Linked DNA regions of Ovis aries. The protein of the gene in region 6 interacts with the protein of the main gene of each other region in a pairwise test. Links are inferred from orthologs where the notes say so. Each region holds a gene or a part of one and is shown on either strand. Other genes may lie near its edges.

Region 1 (4,224 bases), on a different chromosome or scaffold from region 6:
AGGTGACCAGGGGCTACTCTCTAGCTGTGGTGCATGGGTTTCATTACGTTGGTTTCTCTTGTTGCAGAGCACGGGCTCTAGGGTGTGTGGGGTTTAGCAGTTGCGGCACATGGGCTCAGAAGTTGTGGCTCCGGGGCTCTAGAGTATAGGCTCAACAGTTGTGGCATACGGTCTGAGTTGCTCCATCGCACGTGGGATCTTCCCAGAGCAGGGATCAAACCCGTGTCTTCTGCATTGGCAGGTGGATTCTTTACCACTGAGCCACCCGGGAAGCCTGATCACAACTCTTTTTATTTATTTATTTTTTAATTAATTTATTGGGCTGTAGTCGGTCTTAGCTGTGGCAAATGGAATCTAGTTTCCTGACTACAGATTGAACCTGGGCCCCCTGCACTGAAAGTTCAGTCTTAGCCACTGGACCACCAGGGAAGTCTCACAGTGAAAAGCAGTGAACTCAATGACCTATAAAAGGAAAATTTACTTTGGTAGTTTTTACTTAATGGTTTTTGGGACAATTAATTATCTGTGGAAACAAAAAGAATTAAGTATAATATTAGATGTTTTCAAGGAAAATATGAAAAATAGGTGTTTTTAATCTTTCTAGACTTAAAACAGGATCAGAGTTCTTTACATATAGAGTGAAGGGAGTTTTTTCTTTTTTATTCAAAAGCAGTTTAACACACTAGTTTTAAAGAAAACTGGCCCACAGTTTAAAGAAAGCATTTAAAATAAAAAATGAAATTCATTTATATACTTGGTTTTAAGGTTTAGTTTAACTGCCAACAGGATAAGTACTAATGACAGTTGATTACATTTATAGTAGGCAACGTTTATAAACAGTTCTTTTCTTTTTCAAATATATCAATTGAAATGTTAAGAATATTTACTGTAGACTGAAGCACCATATAATACTGCAGCCGCTCATAAAATAAGTGGAATTTTAATTTGCCTTCACAGAGATGACTCAGCTCTAGGAAGGCCCTTACCTCTAATTTCTATAATGGGGAAAGATGGTGGGCCCTTCACTATTTAGGAGGTCTGTTAAAAGATTTCTGTTAGGGAGAGGGCAATGCACACATGTGGATTTTGCTATTTGTGAGGCACTCTAAGAAAAGACTATGGGGGTGGTACTGCGGCGAGAGTAAAACTGAAATTGATGTCTTGAGATATGGGGGCTGCTAACCATAATAAACCCTGAAATCAATACCCCTTCAGAGGGGTAACTGAGGATTGGCCACTACATACTGTGGAAGTACCTTTGACCCTTTTCTGGCTTAGTATTTTCACTTTTAAATGCTTCTATTTCCCTACTTTGCTGCCTCAGGCAAACAGCACATAAAAACATCAGCTGTGCAAAAACATACAGTCTTCTTAAAAGCCACACTTGATTGTCATGTAAGTAGATGCTTACTGGTCTTCCAATCTTTTTTCTGATATATACTTTCTCTGTAATGGAACAAGCTGAAAAGAAATCACCTTCTCTAGTCTTCTTTCTAGTCACACTGCAATTCCGATTCCAATGTTTCCAAAATATGTGCAAAATATCATGAAGAAACCATGAGCCAAAACTACAAATTAAGTTACTGTTTTGTCCATGACTAGTGATATTGGTGGAGAACACTGGGTTCTTTTATTTCTGGTAAAGTGATGAGAATACATTTAACCATTTCTTTCACAAAAATGTGTTCTTAAACACACTCTGACATTCCACTTGTTTCCTAGATGTTTAAATAAAATGAAAAGCTACCTTTAGAACACAGTTGCTGTTCACAAGGAGATTCCCTGGCTTAATGTCTCGATGTAAAATGCCAGCTGAATGGAGATATTTCAAACCTGAAATAACAAACAGATTTAACTGCAGATATTTAATTCCTTTACTCAACCAATGATTTTGGGGAAAACCATAGAAACAAGAGTAAAGGATTTTAAATTGTTCTCTAAATAACTGCATAATGAACATTATTAAAAGCTTGACTTAGTCCTACCTCAAAAAACTGTAATTTCGCTACAGTAAAATAAAATGTCATCAAAGGTTTGCACAGTCTAGAGATAATGTCTATAATTTGAAAGATTATTTAGGTTTAAGTATAGATAAGCATTCCAAGCCCTGGAGTTAAGGCTGACCAGACCAATAACCTTGAACAGTTTCTAAGTGTGGCTCCTGGAGCTCTGGATATTCTGGATACTCTCAAGCTTATTGTGAGCTGCTGCCACAAAATAGTTCCCATTAACCAACAGCAAGCCTTTTCCAGGACAGATTTTCACTGATGAGACAAAATTCAGAAACTTGCCCAGGTCTGTTGGTAGTATTCTCTACCACTGAGAATCAGGAAGGTAATTAATTACTTTAAAAATATTTTTGATATCTTTATAAAGTCTGTGGGCTTTAGCAGTGCTAGATAAAAGGCACAGCTTCTGAATAAAAGGCTGAGTCTTCTGAATAAAAGAAAGCAAATCACATTTTCTACAATGTTAAAGATCCTCTATCCAGTATCTTCCCTCTGCCACCTCCCCCACTCCCAAATATCAACAAATCTACAGAAGGTGAACTTTCTAGTTTTGACACTGTGTATGTGTTTTAGTTCCTTTGGCAGATGCTTTTCAATTTTTATAAGGAATGTCTTAATTCTTTGAATCCTATGGGAGAAAACATTTTACTAGGTAAGAAAACTGTTTCAGCTTTAAACAGGTGTAACGCCAAAATTCTGAAGGACACCAGATGGCCGGAGGAAGCCCCAACAATGTCAGCCCAAACTGTTTCTCCATCACATCAGAGCTCCTTAATGAGGGTGAGTGAGCTGGCTGTTTCTGTCAGTCTTCTCCATGCTTTGACTTTAAAACTCATTTTGCTTTTCTAGAGTGGAACTCAGGCATGCCTGCCAACTCTCAGACTAGGCCCACCTACTGCCGGCTTAAAGAATGTATGTCATCCATAGGAAACACAGTTCCTTTTCAGTTAATCATCTGATGCCAGCCACATACTCCTACTAAAGGCTATTCAGTGGAAGCTTTGTGGCAAAACATCCTGCTTATGTACCCCCCGAGATTAACCCCCTTGACTACCTAATGAATTAGATAGGACCTTCTCTTCCATCACTGAAAATAAGAACCATTCGGCTACCCTTAAAAGCTTCTTATTTAACATCAAGTATAGAGAGTATTAAATATACTTTGGTCAGAAGAAAAACAGTTGTGGGTAAGAAGTTAGCCTTGGAAGGTCAGATTAGTTCAAATGAAAAGCAAAACATTTCATTTATACAGTGACACTACCTTTTTCTTCACAGAGAAAGTCTTACCTCGCAAAATCTGATAAAGAAAAACTTTGACATGATCTGAGCTGAGTGGTTGAGGAGAGACGATAATTTTATGCAGGTCACTCTGCATCAGTTCTGTGACAACATATCTTGAGGTTTTTAGTTAAGGAGAGTTCAGAGAATTCAGCCCCGAAGCCCTATAAATTAGGTACCAACTCTAAATAAATAACTTCTCTTTTTAAGGCTGGAAAAAGCTTTAAGGAAAGAAAGGTTCAGGACAGCAGGAAGAGAGGTGATAGGTTCCAGCCCTCCTAAGATGAAAACACTGCCAAAACAAAATTTTAAAAAGTTAGAAGTTAACAATCAAGTGACTACAATTAGCACTATAAAAGAGAAAAATAAGGGAAAATATTTTCAAAGACAGTCAGATCAGGAGAAATGTGAAGACCAGCAGTCTCAGGGTCTATTCAGACATGTTCCTGGAGTGTCCTCTGAATCCGAACAAGAAAGAGTGCTGGTCTCATGCTAGGCCACCATGGCACCAAAGCAAAAGGTGTAATCCATCCATTAACAGTGGCTTCAATTACCTTGTAAAGCATGGTACTCCGAAAGACACGCACAATGGTTAGTTCGTATCTCAGTCTCTACAGTCTTCACAACTGAACTTTTATTATTTAACTTCTTATACATGTATACCTCCCGTACTTAATTTTAAGCTTCCTGTGCTTTGTACTCAGTATATCCTCAGGGTTTTGCACAATTAACATGAGGCAGATGACCGAAGGCTAGGGCCCAGGGAATAACGGAGATGTGGAACTCTCTTGGTAAAGACACAGTCTTTTGCTTATTTAGAAAAGGACAGATTTGTGACTTACCCCTGCCTTCAGTAACAACTCCTTAAAATTTTAGGCAAGTTTTATGATATAAAAGCTTTCTTCAGACAAGAGAAGAGGGCCTTTGAGTTTAGGAG
Region 2 (3,944 bases), on a different chromosome or scaffold from region 6:
CACGGCCAGGCACAGGGTCCAGAGGAGCCGAGGGGCTCTGGGCCTCATGGCACTGACCTCAGCGGAGGACCTGGTACCAGGCGCTGCCAAGTTTATCACCGTCCGGCCTTGAGAGCTTGTCTAACCTGAGCCTGTTTCCTCATCTTTAAAAGTGTAACGATGGCGCCTCTGTGGAAAGGCTCCTGTGAGGGCCCTGGAGTCCAGAGGAGGCGGGTGCAGCGTGATGGAGGCCTCTGCTCCCCACAGCGCCAGGAGAAGGGTCCTGGGAGAGGGGCTCCACGCCTGACACCCGGTTTACTTGAAGCAGGAGTCTGAGGCAGTGGCCCTGATTCTGGAGTCGAGGGGCCACAGACCACCCGACTCGAGACCTCAGTCAGCAGCGGCCAAGGTAGGGGTTGCTGGTGCCCTCCCCCTACCGGGAGGGGCCCGCCTCCGCAGGCTGGAGGGACTTGGCCCTAGCTCCTTGCGTAACGGCTTGTCAGGCCTCTTCCCAGATGACTGTGGGGACAGCAGGTGCATGGAGAAGCAATCAGGTCATAAACGGGGGCAGCGGCCAGGGCCCCCTTATCAGACCCCAAAGGGCTGAGTGTGCCCTGCCCCTCCCTGGGCCCCTGGGGCAGGTTGCATGAGGGGCAGCCTCCAGCTCTTGGCCACCCACCTACACCAGCTGGAAGTACAGCGAGGTGCGCTGAGAACAGAGACGCCAAGCACACAGCGCTCAGGGAGCAGCAGAGCTGACGATGCTTTTAATTCTCCCAAGAGGGAGCCCCAGGCCCCGAGACCTGGCCAGGGTGGCAAAGGGGGTGCAGTCCGGCCCCTTGGGAGGGGCCTTCAGGGCAGAGTTCTGAGTGGGCTGCTGGACAGAGCGGGCCTCGAGTGGGCCTCAGTAGCCGTCGTCAGCCCACGTGACTTCGTAGTCCGGATACTTGGCTTTAATCTTCTCAGTGGAGACAGAGTGCTGGGCGCGACCGTAACCCTGAGGGAAGGAGGTGGCTCTCACACACCAGGTCCTGGCTCCGGGGGCCCCCAGGCAGCAGGGACACCAAGAGCCAGGCGGGGAGGCTGTCATCCCCCTAGCCACTCAAGCCACTCTCCTGGGAAGTGTAGCCTCCAGAGTGAGCCGACCTGGAGGGAGGGCCCTCCAGCTAGAGGTCGAGCTGGCTCTGGGTGCCCTGTGACCCTGCAGGTAGAGCGGTGAAGGGAGAGGCAGGCATCCAAGCTCCAACACAGCGCTGGCAGCCTCCAAGCGCTGGAGGACAGGGGCCTGGCCAGGCCTTCGGGGCAGGAACAGCACACAGCCCACTGCGGGCAAGCAGTGGCTCCCTCCCTCCCCCTATGTTTCCTGGGTCATGCCGCGTGGAAACTGGGATGCTGCGGTCCCTGGAGGCAGGGTTATGTCGGCGAGAAGGGCCGGGTGTTCCTCAGCCAGGACTGGGGTCCCCAGCTGCGGGCTCACCATGGAGTAGCCGTACACGTGGATCTTCCTGTCCTGGCTCTGGTGGGAAATGCGCCCGCCCCCCAGGCACTCGCAGTCGTAGCCCTTCTTCTGTATCTCGCCCGATACCTTGTCGTAGATGTCGGCTGGAATGGGAGGGGAGCTCAGCACCAGCCAGGGCGGAGGGGGTCTGAGGCCCTCCCCCCGCAGCCCCCGCCCCCAGGAGAGGAGACCTTCTGGACCGGAGAAAAGGGAGGAGAGGGTGCGCCTGGGCAGAAGCCCTGGACTAGGAGTGGGGGTCGGGCCACGGCAGCCCCTCGTCTCCAGGACAGTCTGGATGCCTCCCTGCCTCGCAAGCCGGGCGGCGAGGAGACCCGGCACAGAGTCTACCTACCCCCGCCCCGCCCTCGACCCGCTCCAGCCGCGCTGGCCCCGCCCACAGCGCCCGAGGCCCCGCCCCCGGCCCGCCGCCCCGCCCTCACCGTGGTACTCGGCCCACTTGTAGCCGCGCACGATCTCTTTGGTCTCCCCGGCCGGGTCCCCGGAGGGTGGCGCCGCATAGACTCGAATCAGCACATACTTGAAGACGCCGTCGGAGTCGATGTCCACGTCGGGGATCTGGGCGAGGCCCGCCGCCGCCATGTTCCCGGAGCGCGCTCGCCCTACGGCCCGCGGCCCTGCCCCACGCGACCCCTGGCTGCGCGGACCGCGGAGGGGCGGGGCCTGGAGGCCGCTGGCCAATCCCGCGGGGGCATGCTGCCCGGGCCCAGCGCCTCAGCCAACCGTGCGGCCGACCGGCGGCACAGACGAACCAATCGCGGCCCAGCTTCTTGCAGCGCGGTGACCGCGCCAGCTCCCCTTAAAGGGGAACAAGGAGTGGGGAGTGGGTGTGGGTTCCTTTCAGCCCACGGAGAAGTCCCTGCGCGCGGGTCAGGGGCGGCTGACGGGCCCCTCTGGGGGACTGGGCGGCCCACGAGGCGCAGGGGGCGCGCGCTGGCCCTGACTCCCTCCGCAGACCATGCGCGCTGCCCTCGGCTTCCGCCCGGGTCCCCGCAGTGTATCTGAGGGCCTCCCGCCCGGGTACTCCCCATGCTGTCCCGCGGCCTCCCGGCCCCGTCCCCGCCGAGTCCCGCGGCCTCCCGTCCCCTCGTCCGCACCGAGTCCCACGGTCTCCCGGCCCCGTCCCCGCCGAGTCCCGCGGCCTCCCGTCCCCTCGTCCGCACCGAGTCCCACGGTCTCCCGGCCCCGTCCCCGCCGAGTCCCGCGGCCTCCCGGCCCCGTCCCCGCCGAGTCCCGCGGCCTCCCGGCCCCGTCCCCGCCGAGTCCCGCGGCCTCCCGGCCCCGTCCCCGCCGAGTCCCGCGGCCTCCCGGCCCCGTCCCCGCCGAGTCCCGCGGTCTCCCGGCTCCTCGTCCGCACCGAGTCCCGCGGTCTCCCGGCCCCGTCCCCACCGAGTCCGAGCCCGCCTCTCTCCGGCCTCCCACTCCACGTTGTTCAGTGGTTTCCCACCGCTGTTTCCGAAGGCCTGCCCCCCATGGCTCCGAAAATCTTCAACGTCGCACCCACTCTGAACAAAAAACGAGGCAGCAGTGGCTACATTCGAGTTATATTTTCCTTAGTTCGAAAGCGCTCCCCCTCTGGAAGTAACCCCAGTCCAGGGTCCTTCCTGGGCGGCGCGTAGGGCCGAAGGCGGAGGCCCCTGGGCAGGGGGCGCCGAGGCCAGTTTGTGAGGCCGAGAAGGCGGGAGGGGCTAAGCGGGGCGCGTGGCCGGTGCGAATGCGCGGAGCCGAGGCAGGCGCGCAGGCAGGTGGAGAAGGAACGAGAGGAGATGGGTGCGGGTGCGGGTGCGCGGGCGGGGGTGAGGGCAGCGATCGGAGGTGGGAGGTGGGGCCCCACAATTTAATTGACTCGATACCTCCTACCACCTGGCCCTGACGGGGGCCTGGGGCTTCAGGAGGGCCCTTCTGGGCGCCGGGCCTCGCCCTCTAAGGCCAGGGCCAGCGGGCAGCCCCCGACGAGAGCGGAGATAACGGACTGGACCGTGCACTCCAGCCTCCAGCGTCCAGCCCGCACCACAAGGCGGGGCCAGAGCGAGCTAGAGCGCGGGTGTTTGCGCAGTTGCGCCCTTCACGCCGCCCTGTGGAAGTAGCTCGCTCCCGCCCCTGCTCCAGACGGGACGAACCTCCTCCTCGGTCCTCAGTAGGACTACTGATAGGGTCCCAGCTGGAGGGCCTCCTGGGCCGCTCGCGTTCACCCAGCCTCTGCACCTGCTCCCGCCTGTGAGGTTAGGGCTGCTCTGGCGCACGCCTGGGGCCATCGACCAGGTGGGAGCAGGCAGCCCAACCCACGCCCTGCCGGGTCTGAGCTCTGGCCAGAGCCCCTCCCCTCTGCTTCCCGGGCCCAGGACCTTCTCCCTCTGGCTAGGTGTCTTGTGCCTTGGTTGAGGATGCCCCCACCCCCACCCCTAGTACCCCTTCACTGCTGCTTGCCCCAACCCCTGCGGCAGGGCGT
Region 3 (4,675 bases), on a different chromosome or scaffold from region 6:
TATGTCTCATGAATCGCTTTCTAACTTAAAATTTCTAAGGTTCTCAGCAAGTGGAATCTGTGCGTCACTCTTCAGTAAGCACTGCCTCTGTAACATCTAGCATTGTACCACGGTTCCATTCTGGAAGAGGAGCTGAAACCCTAGATGACAGCTGGTCTAACTCCGGTCACTGTAATATTTGGGGGCACCTAATACAAACCTATTTCTGCTTTACTGACTATGCCAAAACCTTTGAGTGTCTGGATCACAATAAATTGTGGAAAATTCTGAAAGAGATGGGAATACCAGACCACCTGACCTGCCTCTTGAGAAACCTACATGCAGGTCAGGAAGCAACAGTTCGAACTGGACATGGAACAGCAGCCTTTTCCAAATAGGAAAAGGAGTACGTCAAGGCTGTATATTGTCACCCTGCTTATTTAACTTCTATGCAGAGTACATCATGAGAAATGCTGGGCTGGAAGAAGCACAAGCTGGAATCACGACTGCCGGGAGAACTATCAATAACCTCAGATATGCAGGTGACACCACCCTCATGGCAGAAAGTGAAGAGGAACTAAAAAGCCTCTTGATGAAAGTGAAGGAGCAGAGTGAAAAAGTTGGCTTAAAGCTCAACATTCAGAAAACGAAGATCATGGCATCCAGTCCCATCACTTCATGGGAAATAGATGGGAAAACAGTGGAAACAGTGTCAGACTTTATTTTTGGGGGCTCCAAAATCACTGTAGATGGTGATTGCAGCCATGAAATTGAAAGATGCTTACTCCTTGGAAGAAAAGTTATGACCAACCTAGATAGTATGTTCAAAAGGAGAGACATTACTTTGCCGACTAAGTTCCATCTAGTCAAGGCTATGGTTTTTCCAGTGGTTATGTATGGATGTGAGAGTTGGACTGTGAAGAAGGCTGAGCGCCAAAGAATTGATGCTTTTGAATTGTGGTGTTGGAGAAGACTCTTGAGAGTCCCTTGGACTGCAAGGAGATCCAACCAGTCCATTCTGAAGGAGATCAGTCCTGGGTGTTCACTGGAAGGACTGATGCTAAAGCTGAACTCCAGTACTTTGGCCACCTCATGCGAAGAGTTGACTCACTGGAAAAGACCCTGATGCTGGGAGGGATTGGGGGCAGGAGGAGAAGGGGACGAACGAGGAAGAGATGGCTGGATGGCATCACCGACTTGATGGGCATGAGACTGAGTAAACTCCGGGATTTGGTGATGGACAGGGAGGCCTGGCGTGCTGCGATTCATGGGGTCGCAAAGAGTCGGACACGACTGAACTGAACTGAATACAAACCTAGGGTGGAGAATTGAGAATTGTTTCTTACCATAGAGTCCATGGGGTCGCAAAGAGTCCGACAGGACTGAGTGACTAACACTTTCACACTTTGGGAGATTATGAGTAGAGGTGAGGGTGGGGGTATGGGATGAAGGACAGAGTGAAAACTTTTCCTGGGAACCTGGAAAATGAGTGGAGCTTAAAGGAAAAAATAAGGGAGAACAAGCAAAGAGAATACAAAGGCTTGGTTTGAGATAGCTATGGCAATGTTCGTAAGATAACGGATCAACTGAAGTTTCCGTGAAATGCTACTCTCTCAAAGATAAGAGAGAGAATGTGTGTGTCAGGAGTGTGCATGATGCGGTGGACGACAGCAACCGACAGCTGCTTCATACCTAGTCTGTGTCAGCACAGTTAGATGTCTTCAGCAAGTCCCTGAAGGAAAGAGACTTCCCTAACTTTTGCAGAAGTCTGGCTACAACTACCGTCCTCTTCTCAATACACCAACTGTCTTCTACAATGGAAACTATTACAAGTTCAAGGGTTAAGAAAGAGAAATCATAAATGGGACTAAACTGGAATCACAAAAGTGCCCCGTATCTGTGATCAAGATGGAGTGAAAAATTAATCTGATGGGACCCGACGTCCCCAGATAAAAGAATACATCGTCAGAAATCCCTTTTTAGGGCTTCTCGGTTTTACTCTAACATAAAGTACCCATTTCTCAAATTTGGAACATGTCAGGGAAAAAAGTTATTTCTCCATGTAATCGTTAATACAAAGAATAGATTTGTATTGTATTAATTGTGTCCAAACGAAGAATCACAGTCTACAGTGGGGGAACGGGGGTCTATATTTCACTGGTGACTAGTATTACAGAGAGCGAGGAAAGGCGGATCAGGCTTAGACGTTTAAGAAAGCAGAATATTGAAATTCAAATGGGTTCCTGCCAAACTGGTTTACTTGCTGCGAGGGATATCTTTCTACAGATGTCCCCACTCCATTGCCAACTAGTTAGAAAAAACTTCTCGGTTAACACTCGGAAAATAAAGACCAGTAGTAGGTAAGGGGGGAAAACTTGGTCACTGGGTTTAAGGAGTCAAAAGGTTTTTGACGTCCCAGTAAGGTTGTGAACACATTTTCCGTCGATTGGGACTAATAACCGTTGAAGTGAAATGCTACTGCAAAGATTAAAAATAAAATGTGAGTCACTTGGCACACGATACTTTTTCAACAAATAACTACAAGGGAGTGAGAAGAAAGGGGGACAAGATAAAACAAGGTGGGCAGTAGAGGAGAACGTCAGTTTCCCCTGACCACTCACCCAGCAGGGTCCCGATAACTCGGGCAGCTCCCTCGTTGCGTCGCTCGTAGCTGTCCACGATGGAGGCCAAAATGACCGGGTGCAGCCGGACCACGCGGCCGCCGGGGAAGGGGCCTGGGAGAGCAGGGCCAGAGAGAGACTGTGCGGGGGTCTGCGCTGGGGCTGGCGCTGAGGCCGGGGTCTGGCCCGGAGCCGCGGTCGTAGCCGCTGCTGCTGCCGGGTCTGAGGATGACGCGGGAGCCGGCGATGGAGCTGGAGCCGGAGCCGGCGATGGAGCCGGGGCCGAGGCTGAGGCTGGGGCTGGGGCCGGGGCCGAGGCCGAGGCCGGAGATGAGGCCGCAGCTGGGGCTTCGGACGGGGTGGCGGGAGGCGCGCTCGCCGGTACTGCCGGTGTGGCCATCTTGTCGAGAGAGAAGGAGCGAGGAGCGGAAGGGAGCGAGTTGGAGAACATTAGGAGCACCATAGGCTGAACCTGCACCACGTGAACTAGGTGCTTCTGCTTACTGGCTACTGATGATGCTTCTCAGAGCTACAATTTCCGGCTCTGTGTTTGTGCTCTTTGATTTTGGTCCGATGCGCACTCAGTGAGAATCAAGCTAAGTAGTTCCGAGTAAACTTGCGACCGCCCTGGGAGGAGAGAGACACTGCCACCAGATGGAGCCATAGAGCGGTGCAAAGGTCGCAGCTGGCACTTCAATGGGATAATTGGCATCAAGGAAAGAGCTTTGTTCTTGACTGCATCCTAAGGTGTCCATACAGTGTGTCATTCATTAAACAATTTGAATATGTGCCAGACACTTTTAGGAGCTATCAGAGAGCAAAATAAAGACCATTGTCCTTGAAACTTTACGTTCTAGTAGAGAGAGACAAGTACTTTTACACGACTGAAGCGACTTAGCAGCAGCAGCAACAAATGTGTTAGTGAAGAGGGAAAGATAAAATTTTACATAAACTCCTGCTGGTTCTGCCTCTGTAACTCTAGGTCATGTAGCCTCAGAAAGTGAGGACTTAGAATACTAGGAACTGGAGCTTATCTCACGCACCCTTGTCCTGCTCTTTGTGATTGCCCAGCCCCTGCAATCCTGCTTAATCACGCGCGTCCAAGTAAAGGTCAGCCATTCATCTCCCCGTTTTGACCCCTGTTCCTGTGCCTGTGAAACGCCTTAGTTTAAATCAGCCTGTTGGCAGCTAGTGCTGTCCACTATAGTCTGTCTATAAAAACTCTGTAACTCCTTTGTTCGGGGCTCAGAGCTTGGAGTGTTAACTCCTCTGGGCCTGCTGGCTTAACAAACCTGAGTTCTCCAACTCTCCGAGTATGGTGTTTGGTTTCTCGATTACTGGTTTCTGCAACACTACGTGTGGAAGGAGCTCTGATCCTCACTCCTTGCGTAACTTTGGGCAATCTAGAGGGTTTTTATTTTAAGTTCCTGAGCCTCAGTTTCCTTTATTGCGTGAGGGGTATGATAACATCTGCCTATGAGGAAACTTGTCAATTCCTTTAGTTGGATGTGCCAGGTTCCAGCCGGCAAGGTGAGTGGGTGAGGTTGGACTTCTTAGCCCGGAACTCATGCCCAAGAACTACTTTCTCCTTGGATCTACCTTTTTTGATTAGAATTCCCTCGATCGTGCTCCTCTGTCGGTATTCTGGGTACATTGTTTCTTTCCCCTTGAGAAATGGAGTATTTCCTGACATATCACTAAACAAAGGAAGTCACCCATTAGCGATTAGCCACCACAGATGGTGAGCTGATGAGCTTGAGGGAATTTAGGAAGGAAAGAATACCTGCCATTTAGCAGCCTAAGACTATAGCCATGCCCCATTGTGAGCCCGGAGGAAATTCAGGATGTGAAAACACAGAATATTGGCCCCAGATAGGTGGATGCATATTAAAGGAACGATTTCAGTGAGCCTGGACTCTTGCATCTTCCCATACAAATAAAAGTGCTAAATTCCTTGAGATAGCTGGTTTTCTTTAATTAACAATAATCTTTTGACATCCAGACTTACCAGCCCTTTGTTACAAAACTCTGTAACCTGGCCCCCTGCCTGGCCTCCTTGGAGCAGCTATGTCAGG
Region 4 (4,224 bases), on a different chromosome or scaffold from region 6:
TTCACTCTCTCTAACAGGTTCCAGTTCATCCACCTCACTACATTCTACTTTGAACCCACAGATCTGATCAACTAAAAAGGTTCTGTTTGTGTCTTCAGTCTATGGTCTAAAATTGAAAAAATGTACAGTTCTCTTAGTTTCTTTCCCTAGCCCATATCCTGAAAAAACAAGAGACACTGAGAGCAGAACCCAAGATACAGTGTTTTTCCCCACAGACCAAAATACACCACGGACTCTGGGATCATTATCCCTGCCTCCACCCCGGTCCTGCAAAAGCTGTCCCTATGTCCTCAAATAAACTTCTAGCCTTACAGGCCAACCTGTAAAAGGCCAACCATTTTATACATAAACAAAAGCACATTTCAGGCATGTTCCCTCTTCAACGGACAGGCCTCGAGCTTTCTCAAGTCCATGAAGTGATTCATGTCATTCCTCCGTTGACAACCTCTCTACTCCTCTTACATACTGAATTGCATTCCAGCCTAAAAATTCTACTCTTCATCTTCTTCATCATCCCAGTCTACAGTTACCTCTTCTTCCTGGCATCTAACTTTTGCACCCCCCATCCATCTTTGTCACTTATAATCAGTTATTTTTCACATATATAAAGCTACCCTTTCAATTGACTATAAATACCTCGAACATAAGGGCTCTCTCACACATCTATGCCTTTTGCATGACTCTAGATTCAGAGTCGCATTAAACAGATTATTTATGGATGACTCACTTCTCAAAGTTCTCATGTGTAGAATTCACTCAACAATTACAGGCACTGCTCTAGACAAACTCATGTAGAGTGGAGGTGAGTAATGACTAAGATAGACCTTGCCAGCTTTGAAATAAGGTATATACCTTCAAAATACTATAGTATAGGGTCATCCATGAATCTGAATGAATCTCTTACCTGAGAACCTAATGGAGGAAAAGTAACTCCTTCTTCTTTCATAGATTTAATAGTTGCAGATATCAGACTAAACTGAGGGTCCTTCTGAAATTCTTCTGACCATTCTACCATTAAAGATTTCAGTTTTTCACATACTTTAGGATGAGCCTTTTAATGAAAAGGCAAAGAAAAAAAATGGTTAAAATAAGCACTTGAATTATTTAACAAAGAGAATTACCACCAAAATTCTCTAGTTTTATGAATATCCACAAGAGTCCAGCAAACCTTAGTTTAGATGAGCACTCGATAAATACCTACTTTAATATATACTTGTCTCTTGGAAAATTACCCGTTTTGAACATTAATGTTTATATCTTATACAATGACAATGAATCTGTCATATTCAGAGATTATTTCATGTTTTCCTAATATTCTCAATATTAGATTAAACTTTTTATATCAACTAAAGTAAAACTCTGAGATTTTTGTCACTAACAGTATGAACACAGTATACCAGAGTTTCTATTACAAATAAATCAATAACAACCCCATCACAAAGACCCTCTCCACCTTGTTCTAAAATAAAGGCCTCCTTTGCTCACCATCTCTACTGGGAATCAGGACAGAATGATGGTTAGTTTGGATGCTGGTATCACAGACACTTACATCTGAACTTCAGCTATGCCACTTATTAGCTGCATAATCTTAGACAAGTTACTCTTAAGTCTCAGTTTCTCCATCTATAAAATAGGAATGACCTGGAAATCTACCTTCTAGGAGTTGTTAAGAGCATTAAACAAGTCAGCATACATAAAATGCTTAAAGCAGTGGCTGCTAACCCTCAATAAAGATCAGTGTTATCACTTATATATATGCTTTAGGGAGGAAAACAGTTTTTGGGGCTACAAATGCAAACAACAAATTTTAGAACAGAAAGTTTGTTTTGTTTCAAGTTTATCTAAAATGATTTCACTTACAACTCTACTAATGCTATAACACAGCTAAAATAACACAGCATATGTATTTTTTAATGACTCAAATTTCTTTCCTTTTTAAAATTTACCTTATTTTTTATCACAGCACGTACTTCTGTTGCAAAATCACGGGAACAAACTTCTAAATGAAATATCTTTCCACAGTTTGCCACACAAGCCCCAAGAAGCTATTAATTAAAATAAAAATCAATATACAAATGTTGAGATGTAATCTTACTTAACTTACTAAAACAAACACATTTTAAAATTTGGGCCAAATAATAACATGACTTTCACTTACAGTTAATGCCTGCAGAGCAACATGAGGAACTTTATGATTTACCCTTTTCATTATGGCTTTTAGGCAGTCTTTTGCTCTAAAAAAATGAAGAAAGTTAGGTATTCAGAATTTCAATTCAAGCATTAAATACATAAGGTATTCTATGATCAACTAACTTTAAAAGCTGTTTGGTCATACAATACCTTATATGTACACCTGCAAACTTTACTTCATTAAAGGAATAAATCTATCAAATGATCTTACACCTTTTGCTCATAGACTTGTAGAGGGGAAAAAAATGCTTGTTGCAAAGGCTGTGTATCCCAAAAACCAAAAATCAAAAAGGTCAGTCAACACAAGAGAACAATATCATAAAAATTATCTTTACATTTAAGACTGACAGCTTTCAGACAGCAAATTCTTATCTTGTGGGGAAAAAAACTAGCAAGATACATAATCTCAAATGATTTAAGTATAACCATGCATGAATAAACTTCAGAAAGCTGTAACATTAAAACAAATGCTTTCATCAGTCTTCTAAACCTCTACTGTATAATCAGTTTAATGTCCCCATTCCATCCTCAAAGCACTATTATATTCACTTTTTCATCATGATTTATTGCATTTATCTATTCATTACTGAAAGATCTTTTGAATATATTATATATTGTTATATTTATCTACCTCATTAATAACATGTCTAAGTCACAGGGGAACACCCTAAATAATTAAGTCTATTCATTGTTAACATCTGTCCCTATTGAATCAAGGCATTATATATATATATATATTTTTTTTTTTTTTTTTTTTTGAGCTGTACCTTGAGGCTTCTGGGATCTTAGTTCCCCAACCAGGGATTGAACCTGGACCCCCAGCAGTGAAAGCACAGTGTCCTAAGCACTGGACCACTAGGGAATTCCCTGTATCAAGGCTTTAATTATACATTTTAATATTTCAAGTTTTCAGTTATGGTTCTTTCAGAATAAGATTAACCACAGAAATTCAGCCAGTAGCATGTCTTTACTTTTACTCCCAAAAGGAAACAGCAAAAATCCTGTTTCCTTCCAGAATTATATCAGGAAAAGAGAGAGAGAGCTCCTAGACATTCACTGGGCATGACTGGCCATCTTACCCATTAGGAGTGCTTCCAACTTTGTCACATATGTCCATAATAAGACTCCAATCTTCTGTAGTATTGTACTCATTTGTAGCCTTTTCTATAAGAGATAAACATACAAAAGAATCAGGATGTCTTACATAATAATAAATCCAGGAAAGACATAAAAGTATCATGAGAAAAGAAACCAGTTACACACAAGGAAACTCCTATAAGACCATTAGCTGATATTTTGGCAGAAACTCTGCAGACCAGAAGAATATGGCATAATATTTTCAAAGTGATGAAAGGAGAAAAACCTACAAACAAGAATACTACAACCCACCTGAAAAAAAACAAAAACAAACACTCTACCCAGCAAAGATATTACTCAGATTTGAAGGAGACAGAGTTTCATAAACAAGCAAAAGCTAAAAGAGTTTAGCATCATTAATATGTGAACCGTGAACTTCCAGATGTTCAAGCTGGTTTTAGAAAAGGCAGAGGAACCAGAGATCAAATTGCCAACATGTGCTGGATCATTGAAAAAGCAAGACAGTACCAGAAAAACATCTATTTCTGCTTTATTGACTCTGCCAAAGCCTTTGTGTGGATCACAAGCAACTGTGGAAAATTCTGAGAGAGATGGGAATACCAAACCACCTGACCTGCCTCTTGAGAAATCTGTATACAGGTCAGGAAGCAACAGTTAGAACTGGACAAGGAAGAAAAGACTGGTTCCAAACAGGAAAAGCAGTACATCAAGGCTGTATATTGTCACCCGGCTTATTTAACTTCTATGCAGAGTACATCGTGAGAAACGCTGGACTGGATGAAGCACAAGCTGGAATCAAGATTGCTGGGAGAAATATCAATAACTTCAGATATGCAGATGACATCACCCTCATGGCAGAAAGCAAAGAAGAACTAAAGAGGCCCTTAATGAAAGTGAAAGAGTAGAGTGAAAAAGTTGGCTTAAAGCTCAACATTC
Region 5 (4,224 bases), on a different chromosome or scaffold from region 6:
ATAGCCACAGCCTCCTGACCCAGGGTGGGGGGTGGATTTCTGGCACCCACTGGTTCTCCTCCAACACCTGGGTCATCTGTCACTGGCACCAAAAATCACGCTGTCGTTCTACTTGTTTGGACAAAGTGCATCTGTGGTCTAGCCACAGTGTACAAGGCAGGGTGGAAAGGTCAGCTGGTGTGCAGCCTCCACCCTGAGAGATTTGGTCTTGGAGACCGGGAAGGGGGTGTCCCCAGGAGCAGACAGGTGTCCTGCCTGCCTCTAGAAGGTCTGTCCTCCACTCCACAACACAAACACCATGATAAACAGCCAGAGGCTGGCTTCTGTTCTAGTAAAATCTGGGGTTGGCATAAAACTCAGCCTTGGAGGCCGAGATGAGCCAGCAGCCAGAGGACCATCTGAACAGAGTGATGGCCACACGTGGCTGGGCCCCCGTGCAGCTCTATCAGGTCTGAAGTGCCCCAATCAAAAACAGAAGCCTGTTAAGCACCCCCTACCACTCCCCTCCTCCCAACAGAGAAAGTGGGAGGCCAGTGAGAGCCAGGCCGCAGCCCCTGGGATGGTGGCCAAGGAGGAATGTTAGGCTATGTAAACCCACTCTTCTCTCACCCCTCAGAAAGGTCACTGAACTCGTCTTTTACCCGATCATCCGAGGTTGGAGATGGAACCTGCTTCTCACCCAATTGCCCTGGGAAACAAAGAACAAGACTCCAGTCACCTGTCACCCCAGGGGAACTGCACGGTAGTGCTCCCCACAGGCATGACAGGGCGCCTAGGGTTCCCATGCCTCCAAATCCACTCACCTCCTGGCCCCCTCAACAAGGCCTGCATAGCCAAGCCCACCACGCCACCCCCAAGTCCTGCCAGCAGTAGCAACAGCAGCAAATTCAGCCCTGCCTCAGAGGTTCAGATCCAGTTGCTCTCGGATGTTTCAGAACATCAAAAAAGATCATTGGTATCCAAGTACTGCAGGCACATGGCTCAAAACTCCAAGCAGTTCTAAGAACAGTGAAGCCCTCCAGCATGAGCACTGCCTCACTCTGAACCATCCAGTGGCAAACATCACTCGCAGGAGCAGCCTGGCACCCACATGGAAGCTGAGAGACGTGGGTAGGGAGCCGGCCCAGCCCTCCTAATACCACGTTGGTGAACAGCTGCACCCAACACACAGGGCCACAGGATCAGGCCCCACAGGGCACTGACAGGCCCAGGGAGTGACCTGTATTGGCTCGGGACAACCCCTGACCCCAGCTGCCTTCGTGCCCCACAAAGGCCCGGGCTCTTCCTCCCTCCGTGCCCTGGCCCCAAGCAGGCTTGGAGGAAGCCTGGATGGCAGGCGAGCATGCCTTAAAGGAAGGCACTCAAACGGGGTCTTCAGCCCCTCTCTGCTGTCAGACGCACATGAGGCGGTGCCAGGACTGCCCTGGCCACTATGCTGGCCCCTCTGCGCATACCACTGCTACCACCACAACAGCCACTTCCTGCCAAGGGCCCTGCCTGGCTCAGGACCAGGAATACTGGTCAAGTAGCCCAGAGGAGCCACCTACCTGGGGCCCCACCTTGGGGGAGGCTTGGCTGAGACGGGGGGCCCGGCCCCGGCCCCACTGGGTCACCATCTGAAGGAAGCCGGCTTGTTTCGAGGCTGGGGAGTGTCTCGGTTTCAGCCCCCGCCGCAGCTGCTCTGCCTTGGGAGCTCTGAGGGGCAGCCCCGGTGGGGTTGAACCCCCGATGCTGGGGGAGTCGCGGGCCTGAATCCTTGTCCCACGTCCACTTGACACCCAAAGCGCTGTCCAGCAAGAGGGCCCCACAGCTGGAGTCGGCGTCCATGGTGTAGTCATGGCCCTGGTCGCAGCCCCACATGGCCCGGATGACACCACAGTACTCGGAGGACAGCGTCCTCTGGAGGCTAGGTAGGGCCCCACAGCTGGCCGCGTGTCTGTGCACCCACCCCACCAAGCCACGCAGGCCCTGGGGGCTCGAAGCAATCAGGTCCACTGAGGAGAGGCAGAGAGACGCCAGCCCATGGCCAGTCAGCATCTGAGTCCCCCCGCTTCCCGCCCACCCTGCACCCCACCCTGGGGGCGCACTCACCCACACACGCTCCCTCCTCCGGCCCCATCCGTGGCTGGACACCGACCCTGCAAAGGAGCAGGGCTGCTCACCAAGAGCAAGCATGGGGCCCAGTGGCCACTGTGTGTGCCGGCTGAGCCTTTTCCTCCGAGGCCACCCACCAGGCCCTCCCCGCCCTGTGCTCTCCAGTCAGTCTCCCCACACACCCAGCGCACTGGTGCTCATGAGTGTCTGCCTCACCAGCGCCCGGGCTGCCCTGTGCCCATGCAGCCCTGTTCACGGGGTCTCCTGCACACCCCCAGCAAAGGAGGGAAGGGGCACCTACTTTGCACAAGGCTTCCGGCGGCCTGTCGGGGGAACATTGACTCGCTGCAGGAAAGATGTGAGGAGGCCGTGGCACTGGTAGAACTGGGCATGGCAGTTCTTGCAGACAAACTGGGACAGAGCTGGGTCCTGGTGGACAGCCACGCCCAGGAGGCGCTGGAAATCCCGGATGAAAACACGGTCCCCAGGGGGTGGCCTTTCTGAGCTCTCCCCAGGTGCCCTGCCAGAGATGCTGCGGAGACTCCGGGAGGAGAACTTCCCATGACAAAGGCGACAGTGCCCCATGGCCAGGGCCCGGGCTGTTCCTGGGCAAGCACAGGAAACAGGAAGTCAGGCATGCAGAACACAGCTCCCAGGTGAGGTGAGATCCACACTCCACCAGCCCCCGCCCCAGCTCCTGGAGTGGGACCTCCCCAGACATGCCCCTTAAATACAAGTCCAGGTCTGGGCCAGAGGCAGGGCTCTGGATCCAGGCTCCCAGATGAACATATAGTCTTTTGGGAGAATGGCCAGTGGAGGGTCTTCTGAGTGGAAAATCCTTTCAAAGAACTCTAAATGCCTCCAAAACAAGCCAGTATTGCTCTAATACTAAAACCAGACAAGGACACAACAATAAAATAAAATAATATTTATTTTTAATAAACATAGATGTACAAGCCTTCAACAAAATAACAGCAAACTGAACTCAACACTTAATTTAAAAGATCCTGCACAATGATCAGCTGCAAAGTATTCCAGGGAGGCAAGGATGGCTCAGCCTTCCCAAATCAATTCATGTGACACACATTAACAAAATAAAAATCATACTCCTCTCAATAAATGGAGAAAAAGTAGTGGACAAAATTCAATATCCATTCATGATAAAAACCTCAATAAACTGTATACAGATAGAAAATACCACCACATAATAAGAGCCATACATGACAAGCCCCAAGCTAACATCATACTCAATGGTAAAGAGCTAAAAGCTTTCTTCTAAGATCAGGAACAAAACAAGGATTCCCACTCTCACCATTTTTATTCAACACAGTACTGGACATTCTGACCAAAGCAATTAGGCAAGAAAAATAAAAACCACTCAAATCATACAGACAGAAGCAACACCATCTGTTTGTGTATTAATATTACATATAGAAAATTCTGTAAGACTCCATGAGAAAAACTGTTAGAATAAGCAAATTCAGTTATAGAATACAAAATCAATATACAAACATAAGTTGATTTCCACATACTAATAACAAACTATTAGAAATTAAGAAAATAATCAGATTTACAATAGTATCAAAAAAAATACCTATGAATAAATATAACCAAAGAGATGAAAGACCTGTACACTGACACCTGTAAGACACTGACAAAAAAAACTGAAACCACAAATAAGTAGTCCATGACCATGGGTTGGAATAATTAATTGACATCAAATAATAAGACAATTGACATTAATTAACAAGACACTGTTAAAATGTCTACACTCCCCAAAGTCATCTACAAATTCAAAACAACCCCTATCAAAATCTCATTGGTATTTTTCACAAAAATAGAACAATCTTAAAATGTATATGAAACCAATAAAGACCCTGAACAGCCAAAGCAATTCTGTGAAAGAACCACTAAGTTGAAGGCATCATGCTTCCTGATTTCAAACTATACTACAAAGCTACAATAATTAACACAGTACAGTACTGGCATAAACAGAGGCACATAAAGGGACTTCACTGATGGTCCAGCGGCTAAGACTCCACGTTCCCATTATAAGGGGCCAAGAGTCAATCCCTGGTCAGGGAACTTGCCACAACTAAAGATCCCACATACTGCAACAAAGATCAAAGA
Region 6 (4,224 bases):
AAACATCCTAAGGAACAGTCATTTTATATATTTAGAAATCCCTAGAAAGAGAGGTCCTTGTTTGTTGAATTTTTTTTTTCTTTTCGCCCTAATTTCTTGGTGATTGTGTTCCACTGTAAACGCAAAAGGCCTGCTGTTACTAGTTTAAAAATGGAAAACAGGTAAGGAGAACAAAAGATGGGTTAGGTAAGTATTGCAAAGTGGACCCGGTACAGAGGCACATGGCTACTCCTCACAAGCTGCGCGGCACTGTTAGGTGGGCTACGCGGGCGCGGTGACCGGGCTGCTCTGGGGGCCTCGGCGCTCGCCCACATGTGCCAACAGGAGGAGGGCCCCTGTTCTCCGGATGGCCTTCCTATTTGGAGGCGAGAGCTGCCGCAGAGGGGCGGTGGCCATTGTTCGCAGGAGGCCCGGGCCCTCCGCAGCCGCCTGCGCCCGAGGCTCGGAAGGCGCGCACGCGGTGGACCACACTTCCTGCCCACGCTTGGAGGATGCACGGCTCCAAGTCTCCAGGACACAGACCTGAGTGGGTGGGGGCCCACCTACTCGAGGAAAGGACCGTGGAACAGGGGCTGATCCTGGCTCGATGGCTCAAGAGTGCGCCTTAGAAGTGAGTCTGCCTGCTTCCCGTCTGCACGCCACTATTCCTCGCGCTGAGGAGGGGAAGATCTGCTTTGTTTGCTCTTTTCTGCAACAGGGCGACAGAAACGCGGGGCTCCCCCAGAAGCTCCCTGCCCTGGGGCCTCGGCTTCCCCGAGCAGGGCAATCGCCCAGCAGGAGGCTCTCCCCTTCCTGGCTCCTTCCTTCCAGCCCTTCTTTGGGCGGCACAGAAAAAGGATGGAGAGAATAAGGAAAAAGCCAAGAGGGGCCTACCTACACTTTGTCTAGAGCACACTGATCAGACTCTATTGGCACGGAAAGTATTGCACACACTAAAGAAGCAAGAAGGTGAAACAGGACAATGTTTAGAAAGAACCGATTCTTTGATAATTCCTATACCTGAAACAAAAGCACGAAAAACAACGATGATGTTCCTATTGCTCCAAACCACGCATGTTTTCCTGTTTTAGTGTTGGAGGTGTGGATCCGGTTAGTTCAATACTCAAAAGAAGCCAAAAGGTGGTGGGTGTTTCTCTGAGTCCGCGTGAATCACTGTCCTTAGTGGTACTGATGAGGACAAAGTCTGTATGGCAGCCCCGTATTCCTCTTACCGTCAAAACAAAAAAAGAAAAACAAAACCTAATAATTGCAAGTGCCCTGAGCAGAATATATGGAAGATTAAGCAAGTTCTCTGAACAGAGACATTTAAAAAAATACAGCACTAAGTAAGCAATATGACTGCAAAAATGGACTCACCCAGCTCTCTGCTAGCATGCTGAGAGGGTAATGAACACCGAGGAAAGTCAAGGACTGGCTCTAGCAGTTCAAAACCTACTCCAATGGTTTTGGTACACCCCAGAAATGGTTTCTAAAAATCGTCAGTTCTGCTGAGAGCTAAATGTGAAGGAATACTGGAAAGCCAGAATGTGGGCTGACAAGAATTTTTTTTTAAATCTGTGAAATGGAAAAAGTACTATTTTCAATGGTAAAAGAAAAATCAGGTATTTGTTCAGATTCTCTGCAGCCATTCCAAGTAAGAATATTTAAAAATTTCTCTCTCCTTATAAAACTTTTAAGCACTTAAAACGCACACTCAAACCCCACAAACAATTTTTCAGATCTCTGGGGATAAAAGGTCTCCACTGTGAAAGACCCTTTCTGGGTTTGTACCAAACATTAGATCTTGATTTCAGATGGAAAAAGAAAGTCATTTTGAAAATAACATTAATAACAACAACAATAATTGTTTTCTTAAAAAAAAAAACAAACTTGCTCACATATATAAATGTCTTCATGGAAAACTCTCTCAATGAATCTGAAGAAAATTCTCAGAGTTGTCCTGCTAAGACCTGGTTTTATGTGACAGATACGGTAAGAAGACCAAAAATGAATCTTGAAAGGAACATAACCTTATAAAAGGCCTAGAGTTTAGGCAGGTTAGAAAGTAATTTTGCTACATTTATTTATGCTCGTTCAGTCCCCCAAGCCTTTCCCACAATGTTATTTGAGAAAAACTGCAGGAATATCACACAAATTTATAAACTCAAGATGTGCAAATCGCAAGGTTCTTTAAAAGTTCATCTTAAAAAGAAAAACACTGGACAAAAGTGAGTATTCTTTTTTTTTTTTTTTTCCCATCCCTTCCCTCTCAGTTCCTCTGCCAGCTCTGCATACGCTTTTTACTCCTTTCTGAGACATCAAAGTGAAGAGTGCCTCCTGTCAGGCTGTACTTGGTGGTCATTCATTGTCACATACAAGTTCATAATTCACATTCATCCCTTGAAACCACTTTGAAACTTTCAGCATCTTGCTCCGTGAGAAACTCTGCAGAGCTGAAATGTAGTTACAGTGTTAAAAAAAAAAAAGAAAGCAACTTAGTTTTTTTTTTTTCTTTTCTGTTTTTCTTCCCAAAGAGTTTAAAGTGAGATACAGTACTTGTTGAATGAGAGACCAAGATGCTTGGTAATAAAGTGTGAACGGCATTTTAAGTACTTAAGAGATAGTAATATATATGCTTATCTTCAAAATCTTATTTCCTCACATCACACTGGAATCTGAAAAAAGTGGCACCCGAGTTGTCCATTGTCATGAACTATAAACAGTACTAGAGTTAAAAGACAAAAGATTTGCAAACCCAAAGCAAAGAGCTTCTGCAGCTCTTTTGAAGGGCAGTTTGTGTCTTATCTCTTGGGAGCGAAGTCAATGCAATTAACCTGATTGGTTTTCCTAACACTGCACAGAGACCGGAGGGGGTGTTCACTTTCCCCCACCCCCGCTGCCCAGCGCCCCCCCCCCCAACCAGTGCAGAGCGATGCCAGCAGGGGCCGCCTGCCCACCATGACGCCCTGGAGGCATCACTACTGCACTAGTAAAGCAGAAACGAAATCCCATGGGTGGCAGTTGCTCTTTAAAAAAATATCAGTGCAGTCAGGCCCCATAGGGGGAAATATATATATATATATATATATTTATCTCTATGATTAAAAGTTGCTTTTATTGTAAAATAAGTTGGGGGGGGGGGGAAATGTTCTTTTACACGGTTAGCTTTCCATCTGCTGTCTGGTACCTCTTTCGGAGGCCCCAGTGCTGACTCTGCACGGGGGGAACCTCCTGAGGACATTCCCCCAGACCTCCAATCTGGTGCTGAGAGCAAGAGAGAGGGAGGCAGAGAGAAAGACACCCTTACAGAAGTGTCACCCAGGCACCCTCCCTGGCACACAGGCACACCCCCCTGACGCAGCTCCCTTCCCGAGATCATCCCTCTGAAGCCAGTGGAAGTCAGTGCCCCCGTGGATGCATCCACGATGCCAGAAAAGGCGGGTGCCATGGGGCCACCTTCATCTCAACCAGGATGCCCACCACCTGCCTGGAGCCTGGGCTGGACCTACCCTGGCACCCCACCTGCCGAGAAACACGCCCGGAAAAAGCATATGCACCGGTCGCCTGCCCAACGCCAGCTGTAACTCTAATGACAAGGTTATAACAGAACCCTAAAGTAAGAGGATAACATGGAAATACTGAGTTATTTAACCTACAGTACATCTGTAATCTGGATACAAATGATAAAGGAGGGCCAGCTTTCCCTTCCCCACACAGCTTCTACTTGCCTACGTTAGAGCGGCCTTCGATGCAAATCTTAACCTCCTGAGAAATGAGAGAAGGCTTGGGAAGAGTCAAAGGTGGCTCGTCTTCCGACTTCTCCAGTTTGCGGGTCTCGGGCGCTGACCACCTCCTCTTCCTCGTGGCCGCGGGCTTGCTGGGTTCTATTTTGGTGAGCAAGGGCGCGGCCGGCAATCCTATTTTTTCGGGAAACTTCAGTTCGCCATTCTCAGAGAGCATCTGGGCGCTTCCCTGACTGATCCCGTTTTCCTGCTCGGCATACCTGTGTCTACTGCCAGCGAGGCCGTCGGTCTTTGAGTGCTTCAGCAGGACACTGGCTGGATCCACGGGCTGGCCCTTTTTAACAGAGCCGTTCTTCAGGTTCTTGAGGGTGAGCGAGATACAGACGTCCCCAACGGAGAGTTTGGAGCATGGCAAATCAAAGAGCTGGCTGGTCCTCTCTGGGCAACAGGATGACCAGCCCTGTCCAAACACAAAAAAAGGATACTCTACCAAAACTTCCAC
Region 7 (4,224 bases), on a different chromosome or scaffold from region 6:
TCCTATGCATTATTGCTCTTTACAGCATCGGACTTTACTTCCATCACTGGTCACATCCACAGCTGGGTGTTGTTTTTGCTGTGACTCCGTCTCTTCATTCTTTCTGGAGTTATTTCTCTACTGATCTCCAGTAGCATTTTGGGCTCCTGCCCACCTGGAGAGTTCATCTTTCAGTGTCCTATCTTTTGCCTTTTCATATTGTTCATGGGGTTCTCAAGGCAAGAATACTGAAGTGGTTTGCTATTCCCTTCTCCAGTGGACCATGTTTTGTCAGAACTCTCCACCATGACCCATCCATCTTGGGTGGCCCTATACGGTGTGTCTTTTGTTTTATTGAGTTAGACAAGGCTGTGGGTGCAGCATACCTGGGTATGGCATAAACCCTCTTGGAGGAGCTCACCATTAACCCCACCATGGAGCCGCCAGAACTTACACAGGACTGGGGAAACAATCTTGAGGGCACAAACAGAAACTTGCGCACACCAGGACCCAGGAGAAAGGAACAGTAACCCCACAAGAGACTGACCCAGACTTGCCCCTGAGTGTCCAGAAGTCTCTGGCGAAGCTGTGGGTTGGCGGTGGCATGCTGCAGGGTTGGGGGCACTGGGTGTAGCAATGCGTTCATCAGACCTTTTGAAGGAGGTCGCCATTATCTTCATTGCCTCCACCATAGTTTGGCCCCAAGTGAATAACAGAGAGGGAACACAGCCCCACCCATCAACAGAAAATTGGATTGGAGATTTACTGAGCATGGCCCCACCCATCAGAACAGACCCAGTTTCTCCCTCAGTCAGTCTCTCCCATCAGGAAGCTTCCATAAGCCTCTTATCCTTCTCCATCAGAGGGCAGACAGACTGAAAACCACAATCACAGAAAACTAACCAGTCTGATCAAATGGACCACAACCTTGTCTAACTCAATTACTAAGGTAGCAACCCATTAAAAAAAATCCTTTGTATTTAGGTGCTCCTAATACTGCAGAATTAAGGATTTGTCGTGTAAATAAGAACTGTGGAAGTGTCAAAGGAGGAGATGAAATATTTCTACTCTGTGACAAAGTTCAGAAAGGTATTTTTTGGGTTTTGTTTGTTTGTTTCATTGAATTCAGAATATATTTTAAAGTGATTGGTACATTTTACTTTGTGTTTGAATTATTTGTTTTTGTAATCACTAGACGACATAGAAGTTCGGTTTGTGTTGAATGAGTGGGAAGCAAAAGGTGTCTTTTCACAAGCTGACGTACACCGTCAAGTAGCCATTGTTTTCAAGACTCCGCCATACTGCAAAGCTATAACAGAACCCGTAACAGTGAAGATGCAGCTGCGGCGACCTTCCGATCAGGAAGTTAGTGAATCTATGGACTTTAGATACCTGCCAGATGAAAAGGGTATGACCTTTTGTGTTAATGGTTTATGTGTTTCTTAGTCCTGCTAAGAACATTGTTTTGTAAGATATATTAGAATATAGTCATGTTATGTATTCACAATTTTCTTTTCCTTAAAGTTTTTTATTGATTTTTGATTCATCTTTGTGCTCTTTGAATCTCTTTCTTAGGAAAGGTATCTGGGATAATTTCAACATATCTAACCTGTTTATCAGAAGTTGTTTTATATTTGAGATTCTGTTTTGGTCCTTATTGTACCTTCTTGATAGATGGCAAACTTGCCACTCAGAAAGTGGTCTCCATCTTGGTCCTAATCTGCCCTTAGCCCATTAATTGACCATTGGTTAACCTGTAGATGTTATAATAAAACAAGATGAATATTATAAACTATTTTTTACTAAGAGAAAAATGCCCTTTATTACTGATTTGGGACATACTTTGTGACACATAGAAATCCATGTTATGTACATTTATTTAAAGCATTTTCTATGTAGGAATAAAACATCTATATATGTGTTAAAGGAGAGGAAGCATACTCATTGATATTCACACATTTTCCCGATTTCTTTCTAACCAGACACGTATGGAAATAAAGCAAAGAAACAAAAAACAACTCTGCTTTTCCAGAAACTGTGGCAGGATTGTGGTAAGAATATTTTGGTTTGATTGGTATTTAAGTAAATTTGGTTTGGGGTTTTTCTTTTTTTTCTTTATTCAGTTTTTCAAATTTTAACTGGTATACTGTTGTTTTTCAAATTATATTTAATAATGGAAAAAATTTATCACAGGAGTTAATTTTCCTGAAAGACCTAGACCTAGTCCCCTAGGACCTACTGGAGAAGGAAGATTCATCAAAAAAGGTATTTTATGCCCGATACCGTATTCCTTGTGATCAGAGAGACCAGTGTTTTGCACAATATACTAGAATTCTATTCTTAGTAATGAAAACTGAGTCTTTGATTTATTCCATTCCTACATATTTTTTTCATGCTATGAATATTTAATGAATTGATCTCAGCTTCTGAAAGTCCTGTTAGCAACTGTGATTATGTTTGGGGATTTATTGTTTGAGAAATTACATTTCATTCCTATGATGGTAATTGTACTAATTACAGCGTGTCATGAAAGAAGTGGTTTAGACCTGGTCAATTACCTATATTTATTTATAAAGTTTTACTAGAACACAGCTCATTTGATTGCATGTTGTTTATGGTTCTTTTCTTGTACTATTATAGCTGCAGAGTTAAGAAGTTCCAATAGAGGCTGCATGATGCATGAAACCTAAAATATTTACTATCTGGCTTTTTATGGAAAAAAAGTTGCCAATTTCTGCTTTAGATCATTATCCAGGGTTAATTAGAAGTCTTTTTTTTTCTTTTTATGTTCTTAAATCAATGCTTTTTCTTGGTTTAATATGTACAGCAGTCATATAATATGTAATTAAATATACTACTGCATTTTTTTCTGAAAATTTTATAGAACATTAGTGTGAGTTATATCATAATATGGCTTAGAAATTTATGTAGATTTCTCAATCATCCTTAATGTTTCCTCCATCCCTCCATTTTCTCCTGGAAGAAGAGAATATGAAATGATTTTGAATATTTAGAGGCCCATTAAGTGAAATTCTGACATTTATCTTTCACATTTCAAAAATACCTTTATAAGGCCTCAGAAGCTAGATTTCCACATTTAACTGAAATGAAATTTTCTATGCCAAAATAACTTACCAAATTATTTTATAGGCATTTGTAAAACAGTATTATGGAATTCAGTTTTGGACTTATCTAATAATTATCTCCTATTTAACATTTTTATTTGAAGTGTTACATTGATTTCCTTGAAAATTTTTTTATGAGTGTTTACATAATTTTAATTTAGAATTTTGTTCATTTCAGTTTTTTAAAACTACATTTCCTTCCCCACAGAACCAAACTTGTTTTCTCATGGTGCAGTTTTGCCAGAAACTACCAGGCCTGTTTCAAGTCAAGCAGAATCCTACTATTCCTCCTCTGCGTCCATCTCAAGTACATTGTCACATCCTGCTTCAGCCATACTACCAATGGGTACTCAGTCTTCTTCAGGCTGGTCATCAATCGCCCACCCCACCTCACGCTCAGTCAATACAAATTCACTGAGTGGTTTTTCAACAGGGACACTTTCCTCTAATTCACAAGTTATCCCACCATTCCTGGAAATGAGTGATCTGAATGCTTCTAATGCTTGCATTTATAACAATGCTAATGACATAGGTAGAATGGAAGCATCATCTGTATCACCAGCTGACTTATATGGTATTTCTGATGCCAGCATGCTGCCTAACTGCCCTGTGAACATGATAACACCCAGTAATGACAGCATGAGGGAGACCGATAATCCCAGACTTGTGAGCATGAATCTTGAAAATCCTTCCTGTAATTCAGTGTTAGACCCAAGAGACTTGAGACAGCTCCATCAGATGTCTTCTTCCAGTATGTCAACAGTCACCAGCTCTAGTACTACTGCTTTTATTGCACAGTCAGAGGCATTTGAGGGATCTGACTTTAATTGTGCAGATAACAGTATGATAAATGAGGCAGGACCATCAAATGGTACTAATGCAAACAGTCATAGTTTTGGTCAAAATAGTCAGTATTCAGGTATTGGAGCTATGCAAAATGAACAATTGAGTGATTCATTTCCATTTGAATTTTTTCAAGTTAACTTGTAAGATATAAATGGTGATTTAAGAATTAAATCCTTTAAAGGTAACTATTTTGATGCTACCTTTATAAATGTAACATTTTATGTTTCCTTGACTGAGACTATACCATATTCATATACCCCTGGACCCTTGAACA

The links.
Region 1: the proteins of ATXN1 (region 6) and NLK interact in binary tests that used the Homo sapiens proteins (3 or more experiments, as listed by UniProt). The link is inferred for Ovis aries from reciprocal best matches to the Homo sapiens genes ATXN1 and NLK.
Region 2: the proteins of ATXN1 (region 6) and PHPT1 interact in binary tests that used the Homo sapiens proteins (3 or more experiments, as listed by UniProt). The link is inferred for Ovis aries from reciprocal best matches to the Homo sapiens genes ATXN1 and PHPT1.
Region 3: the proteins of ATXN1 (region 6) and EIF3F interact in binary tests that used the Homo sapiens proteins (3 or more experiments, as listed by UniProt). The link is inferred for Ovis aries from reciprocal best matches to the Homo sapiens genes ATXN1 and EIF3F.
Region 4: the proteins of ATXN1 (region 6) and STAM2 interact in binary tests that used the Homo sapiens proteins (3 or more experiments, as listed by UniProt). The link is inferred for Ovis aries from reciprocal best matches to the Homo sapiens genes ATXN1 and STAM2.
Region 5: the proteins of ATXN1 (region 6) and ZNF276 interact in binary tests that used the Homo sapiens proteins (3 or more experiments, as listed by UniProt). The link is inferred for Ovis aries from reciprocal best matches to the Homo sapiens genes ATXN1 and ZNF276.
Region 7: the proteins of ATXN1 (region 6) and REL interact in binary tests that used the Homo sapiens proteins (3 or more experiments, as listed by UniProt). The two-hybrid records come from large-scale screens. The link is inferred for Ovis aries from reciprocal best matches to the Homo sapiens genes ATXN1 and REL.

The regions. Positions count from the first base shown.
Region 1 is NC_056064.1:19,693,806-19,698,029, reverse strand, and holds part of NLK (serine/threonine-protein kinase NLK), read right to left. Parts: intron 3,404-4,224; coding exon 3,297-3,403; intron 1,834-3,296; coding exon 1,748-1,833; intron 1-1,747. UniProt on the Homo sapiens protein: Serine/threonine-protein kinase that regulates a number of transcription factors with key roles in cell fate determination. Positive effector of the non-canonical Wnt signaling pathway, acting downstream of WNT5A, MAP3K7/TAK1 and HIPK2.
Region 2 is NC_056056.1:1,021,630-1,025,573, forward strand, and holds PHPT1 (14 kDa phosphohistidine phosphatase), read right to left. Parts: upstream 2,131-3,944; 5' UTR 2,078-2,130; coding exon 1,918-2,077; intron 1,582-1,917; coding exon 1,457-1,581; intron 977-1,456; coding exon 884-976; 3' UTR 719-883; downstream 1-718. UniProt on the Homo sapiens protein: Exhibits phosphohistidine phosphatase activity.
Region 3 is NC_056068.1:44,245,619-44,250,293, forward strand, and holds the start of EIF3F (eukaryotic translation initiation factor 3 subunit F), read right to left. Parts: upstream 3,018-4,675; 5' UTR 3,001-3,017; coding exon 2,601-3,000; intron 1-2,600. UniProt on the Homo sapiens protein: Component of the eukaryotic translation initiation factor 3 (eIF-3) complex, which is required for several steps in the initiation of protein synthesis.
Region 4 is NC_056055.1:157,444,899-157,449,122, reverse strand, and holds part of STAM2 (signal transducing adapter molecule 2), read right to left. Parts: intron 3,355-4,224; coding exon 3,270-3,354; intron 2,235-3,269; coding exon 2,159-2,234; intron 2,046-2,158; coding exon 1,947-2,045; intron 1,052-1,946; coding exon 905-1,051; intron 1-904.
Region 5 is NC_056067.1:14,142,569-14,146,792, reverse strand, and holds part of ZNF276 (zinc finger protein 276), read right to left. Parts: intron 2,700-4,224; coding exon 2,396-2,699; intron 2,139-2,395; coding exon 2,092-2,138; intron 1,995-2,091; coding exon 1,548-1,994; intron 689-1,547; coding exon 610-688; intron 1-609. UniProt on the Homo sapiens protein: May be involved in transcriptional regulation.
Region 6 is NC_056073.1:40,014,116-40,018,339, reverse strand, and holds part of ATXN1 (ataxin-1), read right to left. Parts: coding exon 3,708-4,224; coding exon of another isoform or gene 3,700-3,707; exon of another isoform or gene 2,433-3,699; coding exon 2,338-2,432; 3' UTR 1-2,337. UniProt on the Homo sapiens protein: Chromatin-binding factor that repress Notch signaling in the absence of Notch intracellular domain by acting as a CBF1 corepressor. Binds to the HEY promoter and might assist, along with NCOR2, RBPJ-mediated repression. Binds RNA in vitro.
Region 7 is NC_056056.1:63,093,635-63,097,858, reverse strand, and holds part of REL (proto-oncogene c-Rel), read left to right. Parts: intron 1-963; coding exon 964-1,068; intron 1,069-1,174; coding exon 1,175-1,387; intron 1,388-1,961; coding exon 1,962-2,030; intron 2,031-2,172; coding exon 2,173-2,244; intron 2,245-3,312; coding exon 3,313-4,094; 3' UTR 4,095-4,224. UniProt on the Homo sapiens protein: Proto-oncogene that may play a role in differentiation and lymphopoiesis.